Coturnix japonica: one gene and its partners. The main gene of each other region encodes a partner of the protein of the gene in region 2 in a complex. Links are inferred from orthologs where the notes say so. Each region holds a gene or a part of one and is shown on either strand. Other genes may lie near its edges.

Evidence for each region.
Region 1: the proteins of FGFR4 (region 2) and KL are in contact, whole or in part, in a cryo-EM structure (PDB 7YSW), measured with the Homo sapiens proteins. The link is inferred for Coturnix japonica from reciprocal best matches to the Homo sapiens genes FGFR4 and KL. Residues at the interface, in NP_001341913.1 of Homo sapiens: Asp266, Gln282, Leu284, His286, Ile287, Ile289, Gly295, Ala296, Asp297, Gly298, Phe299, Pro300, Tyr301, Val302, Gln303, Val304, Leu305, Lys306, Asn311, Ser312, Glu314, Leu318, Tyr319, Leu320, Arg321, Asn322, Asp327, Thr332, Leu334, Leu341; in NP_004786.2 of Homo sapiens: Ser539, Gln540, Phe541, Thr542, Asp543, Asn545, Val546, Tyr547, Leu548, Trp549, Asp550, Val551, His553, Ser554, Lys555, Arg556, Leu557, Ile558, Val563, Thr565, Arg568, Tyr571, Val573, Ala576, Gln579, Pro580, Glu625, Arg628.
Region 3: the proteins of FGFR4 (region 2) and FGF23 are in contact, whole or in part, in a cryo-EM structure (PDB 7YSW), measured with the Homo sapiens proteins. The link is inferred for Coturnix japonica from reciprocal best matches to the Homo sapiens genes FGFR4 and FGF23. Residues at the interface, in NP_001341913.1 of Homo sapiens: Glu156, Lys157, Lys158, Leu159, His160, Ala161, Val162, Pro163, Asn166, Asp240, Leu242, Glu243, Arg244, Ser245, Pro246, Lys272, Val273, Tyr274, Ser275, Asp276, Ala277, Gln278, Pro279, His280, Ala308, Asp309, Ile310, Ser312, Gly336, Asn337; in NP_065689.1 of Homo sapiens: Leu32, Gly33, Ser35, Trp36, Gly37, Tyr43, Ala45, Thr46, Ala47, Arg48, Asn49, Ser50, Ile75, Arg76, Ser77, Glu78, Asp79, Ala80, Gly81, Val83, Val84, Tyr93, His117, Gln118, Thr119, Asn122, Gly123, Tyr124, Asp125, Leu158.

What each region holds. Positions count from the first base shown.
Region 1 is NC_029516.1:155,927,692-155,931,986, reverse strand, and holds the start of KL (klotho), read left to right. Parts: upstream 1-1,491; 5' UTR 1,492-1,503; coding exon 1,504-2,256; intron 2,257-4,295. UniProt on the Homo sapiens protein: May have weak glycosidase activity towards glucuronylated steroids. However, it lacks essential active site Glu residues at positions 239 and 872, suggesting it may be inactive as a glycosidase in vivo.
Region 2 is NC_029528.1:12,077,191-12,081,377, forward strand, and holds the start of FGFR4 (fibroblast growth factor receptor 4), read right to left. Parts: upstream 2,802-4,187; 5' UTR 2,787-2,801; coding exon 2,246-2,786; intron 2,154-2,245; coding exon 2,064-2,153; intron 1,976-2,063; coding exon 1,809-1,975; intron 1,726-1,808; coding exon 1,602-1,725; intron 1,401-1,601; coding exon 1,210-1,400; intron 1,131-1,209; coding exon 992-1,130; intron 910-991; coding exon 716-909; intron 556-715; coding exon 410-555; intron 308-409; coding exon 186-307; intron 103-185; coding exon 1-102. UniProt on the Homo sapiens protein: Tyrosine-protein kinase that acts as a cell-surface receptor for fibroblast growth factors and plays a role in the regulation of cell proliferation, differentiation and migration, and in regulation of lipid metabolism, bile acid biosynthesis, glucose uptake, vitamin D metabolism and phosphate homeostasis.
Region 3 is NC_029516.1:67,144,447-67,148,645, forward strand, and holds the start of FGF23 (fibroblast growth factor 23), read left to right. Parts: upstream 1-1,395; 5' UTR 1,396-1,517; coding exon 1,518-1,740; intron 1,741-3,906; coding exon 3,907-4,010; intron 4,011-4,199. UniProt on the Homo sapiens protein: Regulator of phosphate homeostasis. Inhibits renal tubular phosphate transport by reducing SLC34A1 levels. Up-regulates EGR1 expression in the presence of KL. Acts directly on the parathyroid to decrease PTH secretion. Regulator of vitamin-D metabolism.

The DNA of each region.
Region 1 (4,295 bases), on a different chromosome or scaffold from region 2:
TTGCTACAGCTGGAGCTCAAATTATCACTTGGCCTGTAATCAAACATTAGTCACTTGTCAGACTATAGCAAACTCATAGCAGCTGATGCCCAGCCTGCCAGTTGCCTGCTCCCACACCGCAACCTTCCTCCCTTTAGGAAGGGCTGACAGTGGTCCCCCATTCAGACTTTTATCTGCCTCCAGTGGGAACAAGTTAATCACCGTTAACAGAAACAGACGAAACAAGAGAAAGGCTCTGCCTGGACCTGAGAGGTACAAAAACCCATCCTACACTCTGGAAGAAACCTTTAGCAACTTTCAAGAGGCATTTCAATCCATCAGCTCATTACTAGTCATTACCTGTAATTTTACCTCGAGGGCGTCTATTTTCTAAAAATAAAATGAAATGCTCTTAATGCCTTCATTCTTTTGTTAAGCAACAACTTTATCTCTTGGGAACATCTCTCTAACAGCCTGTCTAATTGGTGTTTTATTCCGAGGTGTCCCAACTTGTGTTAGAGTTCACACAACCAAGTACTGAGTCTTTGCAATGTTTTGAGGCAGTTCTTGCCCAGGTGTTGTTGTCTGAAGCCGACATGAACAGCAACGTAAGACCTGTCTTTAGGATGAGATCTTTGCATCACGCCCACACGGGCAGATACAAAGTGTAACCAAACTATCAGACTGAAATGTACATCTCAATTTGTTTCTCTGAGGCATTTCTCATTGGAAAATGTTCTGTGTTTGGTGAGCAGCCAGATGTACCAGCCTCCAGTCCCAGAAAGGAGAAGGCGATACAACTACAAGGTGCCGGCCCATGAATTACCAGGGGTGTCAGGTCCTTGGTCACCGAGTCTCTGATTATTACTATGAGTGATCACAATGGCAATATCACTTGACACAGTGCCACAAAGAAACTACCAGGTGAAGGAAAAAAGTATAAAAGCAGCAGCCATCAGCACAGCACCTTTATTTCCTCGCGTTTTCCACTTGAGAGGTGCTCCCTCCCCTCGGGGCTCGGGGATACCTCGGCTCCCCCGACGGCGAGAGGCGGAAGAACGCGGCGTCGGGGCCCTCGGGGGCTCCTTGAGAAGGCGGTTTGTGTCCCCTGAGGGACAGGAGGCGAATGGAGCAGCAGCAAAAGGAGGGAGGGAAGGAGGACGGCTCCAAAACCGCGTCCAGGTGCGGGCTCCCCGCAGGGACCCGGGGGGCTGCAGGGCCGCGCCCGCCGCGATCTTCGCCCCAAGGAGCAGGGGTGAAGGAGGTGACCCCGAAGGGCAGAGGGCAGCCGACTCGGTTCCACCGCCCCGCAGCCTCCCGCCCCGTCTCAGCCCGGGTCCCGCCCCCGAGGCAGCCCTTCTCCCTGCGGGAGCCGCTCTGCTCCCCTCGCAGACCGGGAAGGATGCGGGCGGCAGCTCCGAGGTAATTATTAATGGCCGTGCCCACCGGGGCGGGGGGGAAGGAGTAAGGTGAGGATAAAAGGGGGCGGCGGGGGGCTGGGAGGAGGGAAGTACCGTCGGGAGCATGGCCCCGCCGCCGCCGGTGCTTCCAGTGCTGCCGGTGCTATTGGTGCTCGGGCGGCCGCTGCTTGGGGCACCGGGGCAGGGCGCGGGCACCTGGGCCCGCTTCGCCCGCCTGCCCTACCCGCAGGACCAACTCTTCCTCTATGACACCTTCCCCGATGGCTTCCTCTGGGGTGCGGGCAGTGCTGCCTATCAGACAGAGGGAGGCTGGCGGCAGGGCGGCAAAGGGGCCTCCATCTGGGACACCTTCACCCATCGACCCACCACTCCAGCAGGGTCCATCCTGCCAGGTCCAACAGGAGGTGATGTGGCCAGCGACAGCTACAACAACATATTCCGCGACATCGAGGGGCTGCGGCACCTGGGGGTCTCCCACTATCGCTTCTCACTGGCCTGGACTCGACTGATGCCCAATGGCACAGCACCCATCAATCCCGCTGGGCTGGCTCACTATGGCCGAGTTTTGAGCCGGCTGAGGGAGCTGGGCATAGAACCTGTCGTCACTCTCTACCACTGGGACCTGCCACAGGGCTTGCAAGATGCCTTTGGCGGCTGGGCCAGTCCTGTCCTGCCTGACCTCTTCCGTGACTATGCCGAGCTCTGCTTCCAGCATTTTGGTGGACAGGTCCGCTACTGGTTGACCATGGACAACCCTTATGTGGTGGCCTGGCATGGATATGGCACTGGGAGGCTGCCACCCAACGTGCAGGGTGGCCCACACCTGGGCTACCGTGTGGCACACCACTTACTGCAGGTAAATGACGGTTGGCCCCACAGTGGGTGGTGGGAAGGGGCCTTCTCCTCCCATCAGAGGAGCTGCAGTCGCTCCTCAGGCCATGGATTATGTCAGCAGGAAGGGTACCCACAGCCTTCCTCGTTGCACGGATCAATTTGCTGGGCAGCAGCTGGATTGGAAACTAAATCAGTGTGGAATGGCGGCTGGGGCTGAATGTGCCCCATGCTCCCTGATGGTAGGCAGGTAAAAAACATACACTTTGTAAACTGGAGATATGATCTTTCTATTTGCAGTTATCTTAAGGTAACGTCAAGATAAAGTTACAGAGAAGTTGTGGATGCCCTGTCCCTGGGAGGTGTTTAAGGCCAGGTTGAATGGGGTCCTGGGTAACCTGATACAGTGCTTGATCAAGGGGTTGGCAGCTTTGCCCATGGCAGGAGGGTGGTACAACATGATCTTTGAGGTCCCTTCCCCTCCAAGCCATTCTATGATCCTGTGACACGGAGTTGAAATGTTCTCTGTATGCCACAGAAATATTTAGTTCTGCCCTCCAGCATTTGCAAGTGCTATTGGTGATGGGTGAGACGCATTCAGCTGTGCCGGTTCAGCACTTGCAGTTACTGTGGAAATACTCAACACAGCTACAGAAGGAATTCAAACATTTGATTTAAACAAGTCTTACTGAGTTAGCGGAGACAATAGAGGTAGCTGAAATGTCACGCTGAAGGATGCCCTTGACAAAATACAGGCTTTTTTTGACAATGTAAATAATGTTGGAAAAAAGAAAAAAACAACTCTCCTTGTCAGCTAGTTTAGTCAATGGCATGAATACTTTGCTATAAATAATTTTTATAGAGAGAATATAGTATAACTGTAATTTGTCCTGGAAGCGTTTGTGAATTCTTGGGGAGAATTAAGCAAAATTGTGTACAGATCTTTTTACCATCAGGGTAAAGGACTGCTAGACTCCTGTTTGAATACCAGGAGTGATGTGGCCCCCAAGGCATGGTCTGTTGGTGCACATTTACGTTCTCTGCTAACCTTCAAACATGGCTTACCCGCAGCAGTCTGTGTTATAGAGTGTCATACATGAGATGAGAACTTCAGGAAAACACCCAACACTTCTCACTCAACTTTTTGCCACTTCCTTTGCATTGTTTAGAGTTACGCAGATTTTTAGACAAAATATAGGTGGGGAGGATGTGAGCAAGATACCTGGCAGTGCTGAAATTCCTGGTCCAGAAACCTTTGCACTCTCAGCAACCCTTAGGGAGCAACCTGGCCAAGTCTGTGCTGTGATAGTTCAGTTCACTGAACTAAATGAGTAAATAAATAAAGCTATTCCTAAACTTCAGTACTTGCAGGATTAGCCACAAGTTTTGCAGCAGGGCTGCATCACCTCACATTTTTATGCTTTTCAGAGTCATTGCATAGCTGCTGATGTGCTGTTTGGCACGCTTTGCATAGTTACTCTGAAGGCAGTGGGGCTCCACACGAGGGTAAAGGTGTCAGCTTGGTTTGTGGGGTGCAGAACCTCAGAGGCTGGAGCTCTGTGTCTCTCCCTCTAGAGATGACACAGAACAGAAATCATTATAGCTGCAAATGTAAGCACTCAGGCTGTCAAAAGAAAGATCACTTTGGAATAATTACTTTAAGGGCGGTGGACTTGCTGAGAAAGAGTTTTAATGCTGTCTGTCACTTCATTTTTTTAAAATTATTATTATTACTTTTTATTTTCTGCAAAATAAGCAGGTAATAAGGCAGTTCCTGTTCTGTATAGTTCTCCCCTCTACCTGTTGTTCAGTCTGTAGCTTCAGACTCAAATTAAATTAGGCCAGATAAATAAATGCTATGTCTGTCCTTGGCTTTTCCATAGTGCTGTCTGTTCTGAGTATTGATATCCCACATCACCGCAGTATCTGAGTCTCTCATAATCTGAAGGATATGGTTGTTGAAGGAAAACGCCTTTTCTATTTACCAATGGAGAAACCGAGGCACCAGCTTGTCAAGGCACTGTAGAAAGTACAATTCAACCAGGCAAGTTACCAATACTTGGT
Region 2 (4,187 bases):
TGCACACTCCTAGCAAATTGATGATGTTCTTGTGCTTGTCCATCAGCTTCATCATCTCCATCTCGGAGATGAGGTCAGCCAGGTCTTTGTCAGTGGCGTTGTCTGTTGACAGAGGGCCGTGTCACTGATGCTGGGGTGGCACCAATGCAGCAGCCATGCCCAGGACGCCACAGCACGACTGATACCTTTGAGCATTTTGACAGCCACGGTGACAGCTCGGTCCGGCCACTGCCTGTCGATGCCGTACGCCTCCGCCCGCACCACCTGCCCAAAGCAGCCCTCGCCCAGGGGCTTCCCCAGCACCAACCTGCCAGGGGAGGCAGAGCTGTGAGCACACAGTGGGGCTGACCCTGCTCCAAGCCCATGGGGCACAGTGCCCCGGCACTGCCAGCCCTCTCCAGCTCCTTACTTTTCTCGAGGGAATTCCCACTTGGAATCCAGGGGCAGGTCCATCTCCACGACGCCCGCCAGCATGGGGGCACAGCTGGAGGAGAGGCGGGTGACACGCATCAGCGACGTGCTGGACTTCCCTGATGAGCTGGAGTCCAGGGAGAACTGCGGGGACAGCACAGCAGCCCTCAGACACCTGGGAGTCACACTGAGACCTGGTGCTGCTGAGAGCAATGGGGTGAGGGCAGCCCCAAGGACAAGCAACAGGGACAGGTGGCAGCAGCAGGGCCAGTTGTCACCAAGGTGCCCCCAGCTCAGCCCTCACCTGTCGGATGAGTGGGAATTTGGAGAGCTTGTGCACTGCCATGGGCTCCAGGGGCTGCTTGCTCGACTGTGTCTGCATGCGGCACAGCACCACGATGATGAGGGCCATGGCCACAGCCAGCGAGCCCGACGTGTAGATGATGATGTCGGTGTACTTGGCCTCGGAGGTCTCAGCTTCATGCACCAGCTCTTCTTCTAGAAGGAGAGCACACGTCAGTCCACACCACGGTCCCCATGCTGCTTTCAGCCCTAACCCCAGCTCTAACCTCAGCCCTACCTGGGAGCACAGTGAGCCACGCTGACTGGTAGGAGAGGCCGATGGAGTTCCCTGCCAGGCAGGTGTACTCGCCTGCGTCCTCCATGGTGACATTGCGCAGGTACAGCACCTCCACCTCGGAGCTGTTGATATCTGCGGTCTGTGGGCAGAACGAGGGACCGTGAGCATCCCTGTGTGGGGACAAGCTCCATGTGACCCTGCCACCCCCCAGCTGCTACCTTGAGCACTTGCACGTAGGGCACCCCGTCAGGGCCATAGCTGCTGCCGTTCACCTCAATGTGCTTCAGCCACTGGATATGGGGCTGGGCATCGCTGTACACCTTGCAGAAGAACTCCACGTCGCTGCCCACCAGGGCAGTGGTGTTGGCAGGCAGCCCCGCCTGCAGGATGGGCCGGTGCGGGGACCTCTCTGCACACAGGGCATAGGGGCAAAGTCACACACAGTACCCAGGGGGGTCCCAGCCCTACCTCCCTCAGGTGCTGGGACACGAGGGCTGCTCAAGCAGAGCAGATGAGGATGGGCTCCTCTGCCTTCATCCCCTGCAGCCCATCCCCTCTCGCCAGCACAGTGGCAGCAGGGACCCCCCTGGCACCACCTGCGGACCCTCACCCAGCACATCCAGCAGGTAGCTGTAGCGGATGCTGCCGAACCTGTTCTCCACCAGACAGGTGTAGTTGCCACGGTCCGAGGGCACCACGCTCTCCATCACCAGGCTCCAGTGCTGGTGCCGGAGCTGCGACGGGGAGCAACAGGTTCAGGGGGCTGCAGCTGAGCCAGACACCAGGAGGAGAGGATGACATGGGGGGGGGCCCTTACCCGTATGCCCCCGATGCGGTGCTCCCCCCGGAACTCACGTCCATTCTTGAACCAGCGGATGCTGGGGCTGGGGCTGCCCGAGGCCGGGCAGCGGAACTTGACGGTGTTCCCCGCAGGGACAGCATACAGCTTCTTGTCCATGCGGTGAGGGTGAGTCCAGTACGGTGCTGGGGAGAGACGGGGGGCATCGTGGGATGTGGCTTATGGCCTCGGGTGGGGGCTGCCCCCAGTCGCTCCCCCCATGACAGCACTCACCTCTGTGCACATAGACCGGCTCCTCGCTGCGGTCTCCGTGGGGACCATCCCCATCACTGTCTTCATCGTCATCACCCGATGCCAGCGAGTCTGCAAAGGAAAGCGGGTCACGAGGGGTGCCCCTGTCTTCAGGATGGGGTAAATCAGGCTGTGCTCCCCTCAGTGCTGCTCCGGGCCCTCACCCACTACAGAGATGGTGAAGTTGTGCAGGACTTCCCCGGTGCCCCGCGCCCGACACACACACAGCCCCGAGTCCTCGTAGGCGACCTCAGAGATCTGCACTGTGCCCGGCTGGAGGCGGACGCGGGGCCCCGGGAGCAGCGGCCGCGACTCCTTGTACCAGACCACAGTGGCACCGCTGCGGTTAGCGTTGCAGTGCAGCTTCAGAGCATTGCCCGGCTCCAACAGGAGCTGCTGCTCCTCCGACTCCAGCAGCGGGCTCTCAATCAGCTCTGCAGCCCGGGAGAGACGCGCTGAGCGCCGCGCACAGCGCCCCGGACAGCAGGAACCCACCGCGCTTCTCGGCGTGCACAGCGCACACACACACACACACACACACACACACACACACACACACACACGTCCTGGCCAGAGACGCGTGTACAAGGGCTGGACTCTGCCCCCGGGCGCTGGGACAAGGCTTCCCCCGCGACCGCCTGGCACTGCCGCGTTCCCGGCCAAGGCCACCCACGCCACGGTCCTTCCAGAGGGGTCTGCGCCCATTCTGCCGTACTGGGACGGGAAGGAACCGGGAGCGATCAGCGTCAAAGTTCCACCACCACCTCCGGCTCCCCGCGGACCCGGCCCACGCTGGTAAAGCGGCTCCAAAGCAAATATTCAGCTCTGTACTAAACTCAAGAGCCGCTCGGAGCAAAACCACCGCTGGGACAAACCAAAGCAGCGACGGTTCGGCCGCTCCGGGACCCGCAGCCCCCGCCCTGTCCGCGTGTTCCACGCGCCGCCGCCGCGCCCCGAGCCCCGCAGCTGTCAGCACCGCGTGCGCCCCACCGCACCGCACCGGCACCGCCCGCAGCACCCAGCCCAGCCCGCAGCCGGGCTGCCGATGCTCGAAAGCACGAGAAGCGGGGCCGGGAAAAACCAGCACCGGAGCCGCCTTCACCCCCCCAGCCGTCCCGTCCGTACCTGGCTCCATCTCCCCGCGGTGCGAAGCGGCCGGGCCGACCGCCAGCAGCAGCCCCGCCAGGACGAGCCAGAGCGGCAGCATCTTCCGGGCCTCCCGTGGGAAGCGGCACCGCGGCCAGGAGCTGCGGCGCCCCGCGACCGTCGGGCAGCGCCGGCTGCGCGGAGCCCCGACGGCGCGGCTGCTCCGGCTGCTCCGGCCCCGCACCGGCCTCGTCGGGGAGGGCCCGGGCAAAGTCCTGCGGGGCCGGGCGGGCTCCGCTCAGCGCCGCGGCCCCATGGCGGCCCCGACTCTCGCCCCGCCGCGCTGTGCCGAGGGCGCGGGCACTTTGTAGGGCGGCGCTCGGGTTACGCGGCGCCGCGGGCGGCCTCGCCGGGGGCGGCCCCGGCCCCGCCCGCTGCCCGGGACCACGTCACGCGCACGAGGCGCGTTCACGTCACTCGCGTAACGTCACGGCGTGCGGGGCCCCCGCGATCCCCCGCCCCCGGGTCCCGGCCGTTTCTCGGCGCCGCCCACCGCCCGCAGCCCGCAGCCCCCGCGGCGCGTTGCTGGGCGCCGTTCCCGTGGCTGGGCGCTCGGGCTAATTGCCGCCGCTGCAATTAGCGCGGCGTTATCGCTGCCGGGGCCATCAAGTGGCCGTGACCCCCATTAGGAGTCCATAAGGCTGCGTCGTAAAACACCGCGGGGCTGCGAGGCGGGGCCGGCCCGGCCCTAATCCGTGCCATAAACACCTCTCCGCGGAGAGACCCCCGACACCGGGAGCGGTCCCGGCCGCGTCCCGTTTTCCCGGTCCGTGCGGGAACGAAGCCGGGAGCCGAGCCCCGGAGCTCCCCGCGGAGCCGCTTTGAGACGGTGCCGCGATGTTGCGCCGTCCGGGGGCTGCCGCTGTCCCCCCCCGTTGCTCGGGGCCGTGACTCCGGGTTGCAGCAGCGCCGCGTGCTGTGCTCGGCCGCTCCCTCCTGGGGTCCCGCTCCCTTCCCGGA
Region 3 (4,199 bases), on a different chromosome or scaffold from region 2:
TACACAGGTGCAAGTTTCTAGATTTACACAGGTGTGATAGAAGAATTTGGCAGAGTTCTACTAATTTTAAACTTAAAAAATAATCAGATCTACTATGGTAGTTTTATCAAGCTGTATTCTGTGCTGATGGCACTGCTCCACAGCTGTTGATGGGACTAAGAATTTCACAGTGTCTAACTAAATCCTGTAACTTACTAACTTCTCTGCCTGAAAGCAGTGAATCTAGGACTGTTATGCTTAAAATCTCCAGGCGTCTTCTTAAGAAGTGATTCAGTTATTGCTTTGTGCTCTTTTCATTCTGTATTCATTTCTGAAACAAACAAGCCAACAGCTAAATACAGCCTATTGTCACAAGTATTCCTATCACTGCTGCTTAATCTGTATAGCCAGCATCCCCTTAGTACAGTACTTCTATACAATAAGCAGAACAATATATGTTTCTTAATCAAAAAAGTTGCTGATGAACTGTTGTACATTGACAGGACAAACGAAAAAGCAGATATAGTATCTTGAAACCATTTTAACATCACTTTACACTTATTTCTTTTCAATTTACTCACATCCCAAGCTTGTTTGCTATACCTGAATCAATAGAAATGTGCCATTATGAGTGATTTTACTTTTGATTCAGATCCTAGATCTTCTAGCCATGCTAACCTATGTGGCTCTCTAAAAGACCACTAACCAAACATGCAATGAGGGAACAAACTTCAGATTCTAAGTATTCTGCAGCTGATCTTCAGCTGTTTGGTCAACTCCAAATTATTTAAGTGATTCAAAGAGGAGCAATAAAAAGAAGAGCTTAGTTGGAGTGAGGTGTGTGCACATCAAGTTTCACTTGCTTAAATGAGGTGACACAGACATCAATCCGCCAAACTCACTGCTAAAGTCACACCATAATGAAGGAACAGACCCAGAACAATTTAATCTCAGATTATGATGGATCTGTGATTTTTTTTTTTTAACTTGTGTTTTTGGTTTTAATTTGCTGTTTTCAACTAATCAGAATGTAGTTTAGAAATGAAGAGAGGAGGTAGAAATCTAAATCTGAGGGGAAAAAAAACACAATAAATTTAATGGGTCATTCCTTTCTCTTCACAGAAATTACAGTGGATTGCTCTTTCTGGATTTAACAGTAGAGGCACAGGAAACTTTAAGATGTCACAAGTTTGTCGATAACATTTGAACATATGATTAGCTTTGGTGAGCTGTCTTTAGAAACCTTATATTTCTTCCCCCTACACCTTGCCCAGAGATCCTACGTGCTTTCCTTCCCTTGAGGTTTTGGAAAACTTAAAATGTTGCTTTGACAAAAATCAAGGATGTGGACAAGTTTTTTTGTTTTGTTTTGTTTTGTTTTCCTGTGTGATGTCACTTATCCTGCTCTTCATAAAGCCCTGCAAAGAAGGGAACTTATCTGAGGATTCTTGCTGCAGACACAGACAAACAAGGGAAAGTGAAAAGCGCAAAGGAGTATCAAGTTTCAGATACGGAACAGCCACTAAGAGCTGAGAACCATGACACACACCAGTCCCTGCAGCTGCCTGGAGTATGCGCTGCTTGTGCTGTGTATACTGAAGGCTGCAGTTGCCTTCCCTAACTCCTCTCCACTACTGAATCCCAGCTGGGGGAATGGAGATCAGCTGATGCACTTGTACACTTCTACAGAGAGGAACAGCTTCCATCTCCAAATCAATGCTGATGGACACATCAGTGGTGTTCCTCACCAAACCATTTACAGTAAGTAGCTTATTATGGACCCTCTGTCTTCATGGGAGTAGGGGAGGGGGATCAAGACTTTTGCTTTTTCTATACCTATACAAAATTCCATCATCTTGCCAGGCATACAAAGAGAGGAGCAGAGCTATGGGATCAAAAACATACACAATTCTAATACTCATTTTGTTTAACAAATACTTTGCTTTAAAGAAATATAACAGGTGGGGAAGAGGTATATACATAAGGGGTACAAGGGGTATATAACAGGTAGTTATCTTTGTCTAAGATGACTAAAGTTGTGTGGTTCCTGTGATGCTCTGCAAGCAAAAATTACCTGAATTATCCTTCATTTTATGATTTTACCCATGGTTTCTTGTGGAATTTTTTATTAGTGATTACATTTCCACTGCAATGATAGCATTGCACTGAGAAAAATCACCACAGCAGTTGTGGAAACCAGATTATGGTCATAACATATTTTGGGGTGGAGATATTCGATCTACTAAAATTAGGTCATTTTCTTCCAAATGTATCAAAACCACTCTTTATTGAAGATTGGTTTATAAGAGAAACTTTAGTTATGTGTTTTTAATGCAGATGCATGGCAGAAACTTAGTTGTGCATGGAATGTGGGTAACTGAGTGTGCAACAGTTGATAAAATGGGGGGAAACTGTGAAAGTCCAGATTGTAGTTAAGAAGTGCTAAGCCTTCTGAGTCCATCAGAGGTAATTATTCCCTTTTGTAACTCAAAGGTTCCATTGTAGTTTATTTTCATGGAAAATGCAGGTATTCTTTGCTGGATGCCTGCCTGAACAAATTCATTAGTTTAAAAAAAAAAAAAAAAAAGAAAAGAAAAAGAAAGAAAGTGTAGTTTGGTTTGGTTTGGTTGTCTTTTTTTTTTTTTAGGACAAATCATTCTTAGATAGGATTCCAAAATTGCTTCTCTTTTAACAGCACTCAAATCACAAGTAGCTATGCATCATAAAGTCATTTTTATTACTACTGCATAACATGCCCTTCATCCACACAACTATATTTAATAAGCACATCTTGTAATACTTGTGCAAAATAATATAAGGAACAAAAGACAATTTTAGAAGTTTAATTTATCAAAGAGAAAAAATAACCAAGTTCCCGTATTTCTCTTTTAAGGAATTACTGATGAAACACTTATAGGAATGTATGTTCTGTCTTAATGTTATTTTTCCCATACATCTATGGGTTTTATAAAATTTGTTTTTTGGCATGCTGGGCTATAACCAGAGAGAAGCAAAAGAGAAAACAGCCAGTAAAAATCCATGTTTTGCCCATATCTGTAATGAAAAAAATCCACATATATTTGGAAGGATTGAGTAGGAGGGGTTGAAATCAGTCAGTGGGGTCATGAAAGGGAAGGTGACTGAATTTCTGCCAGGTCACCACTAGCAGTGAGATTCCAGGTAAATAGAAAGTCCAAAGTGCTGTGCAGGCTGGGAGGAGGCTGGATGTGTGCAGCCCTTCTGGGCAGGAACTAAGGGTTACAGAGGGCACACACTCAGTTTAAGAAGATGGCAAGCCATGTACTGTGGTCAGCAGGTCAAGGGAAATTACTTTTCAGCCTTTACTTAGCACCAATGAACCTGGTCTTTTTACATTATTATGTAAAAAAACTCTGTTTCAGATGGACGTGGAGAAATTGGAACTGGTCTAGCAGGGAGTTTTCAGGATAGTCAGTGGCCTTGAACATGAACATAAACAATTTTGGAAAATGTTGAGGGAACTAAGTTTATTTAATGTGGTAAAAAGTAGTTTAAAGTGAATACCATGGGGCAGTCACTACAGGCAGTCATAAAGATGAGGCAGTCAGACTCCCTCTGGTCATGGCCAGAGACAGAACAAAGGAAAAACTGGCCCAGAGTGGAATTTGAGGCTTCAATTGGGATGTTAGAAAAAAAATTTCTTTGGAATGTTAGTGCAGCACTGGAACAAGGGTTCAGACAAAGATCAAGATCAGATCAAGAGATGTAGTGGCATCTCCACTGTAGGAACTTTCCAAGGATCAAACAAAGCCACATCGTACCTGATCTAAGGAGCTCAATAGTCCCAGCTGACATAGAAGATGGGTTCAAATCAGCATGTGGACCAGCAAGGCAAGAGTGTGGTGTCAAATGGGATTCTGGATTTGACATCTTTGCTTTCTCAAAAAGGTGCCTTAATGATCAAGTCTGAGGGTGCTGGCTCTGTGATAATCACAGGTGTGAAGAGTGGACGCTACCTATGCATGGACATGAAAGGAGACATTTTTGGATCGGTAAGTTACCTTTAACAGGTAAAAGACAGGCACAGTCTGCTATATATGATCCATTTCCTCACATAGAGCAAATCTGTATAAGTACAGCAGTAGGATGCAGATTTTGGCAAGCTGATAACCTGCTGCTTAGGTTAAACTTTTTCTCCTCTTTGATTGCACTGAATTGTAGACCTGATAAAGAGTTCATCT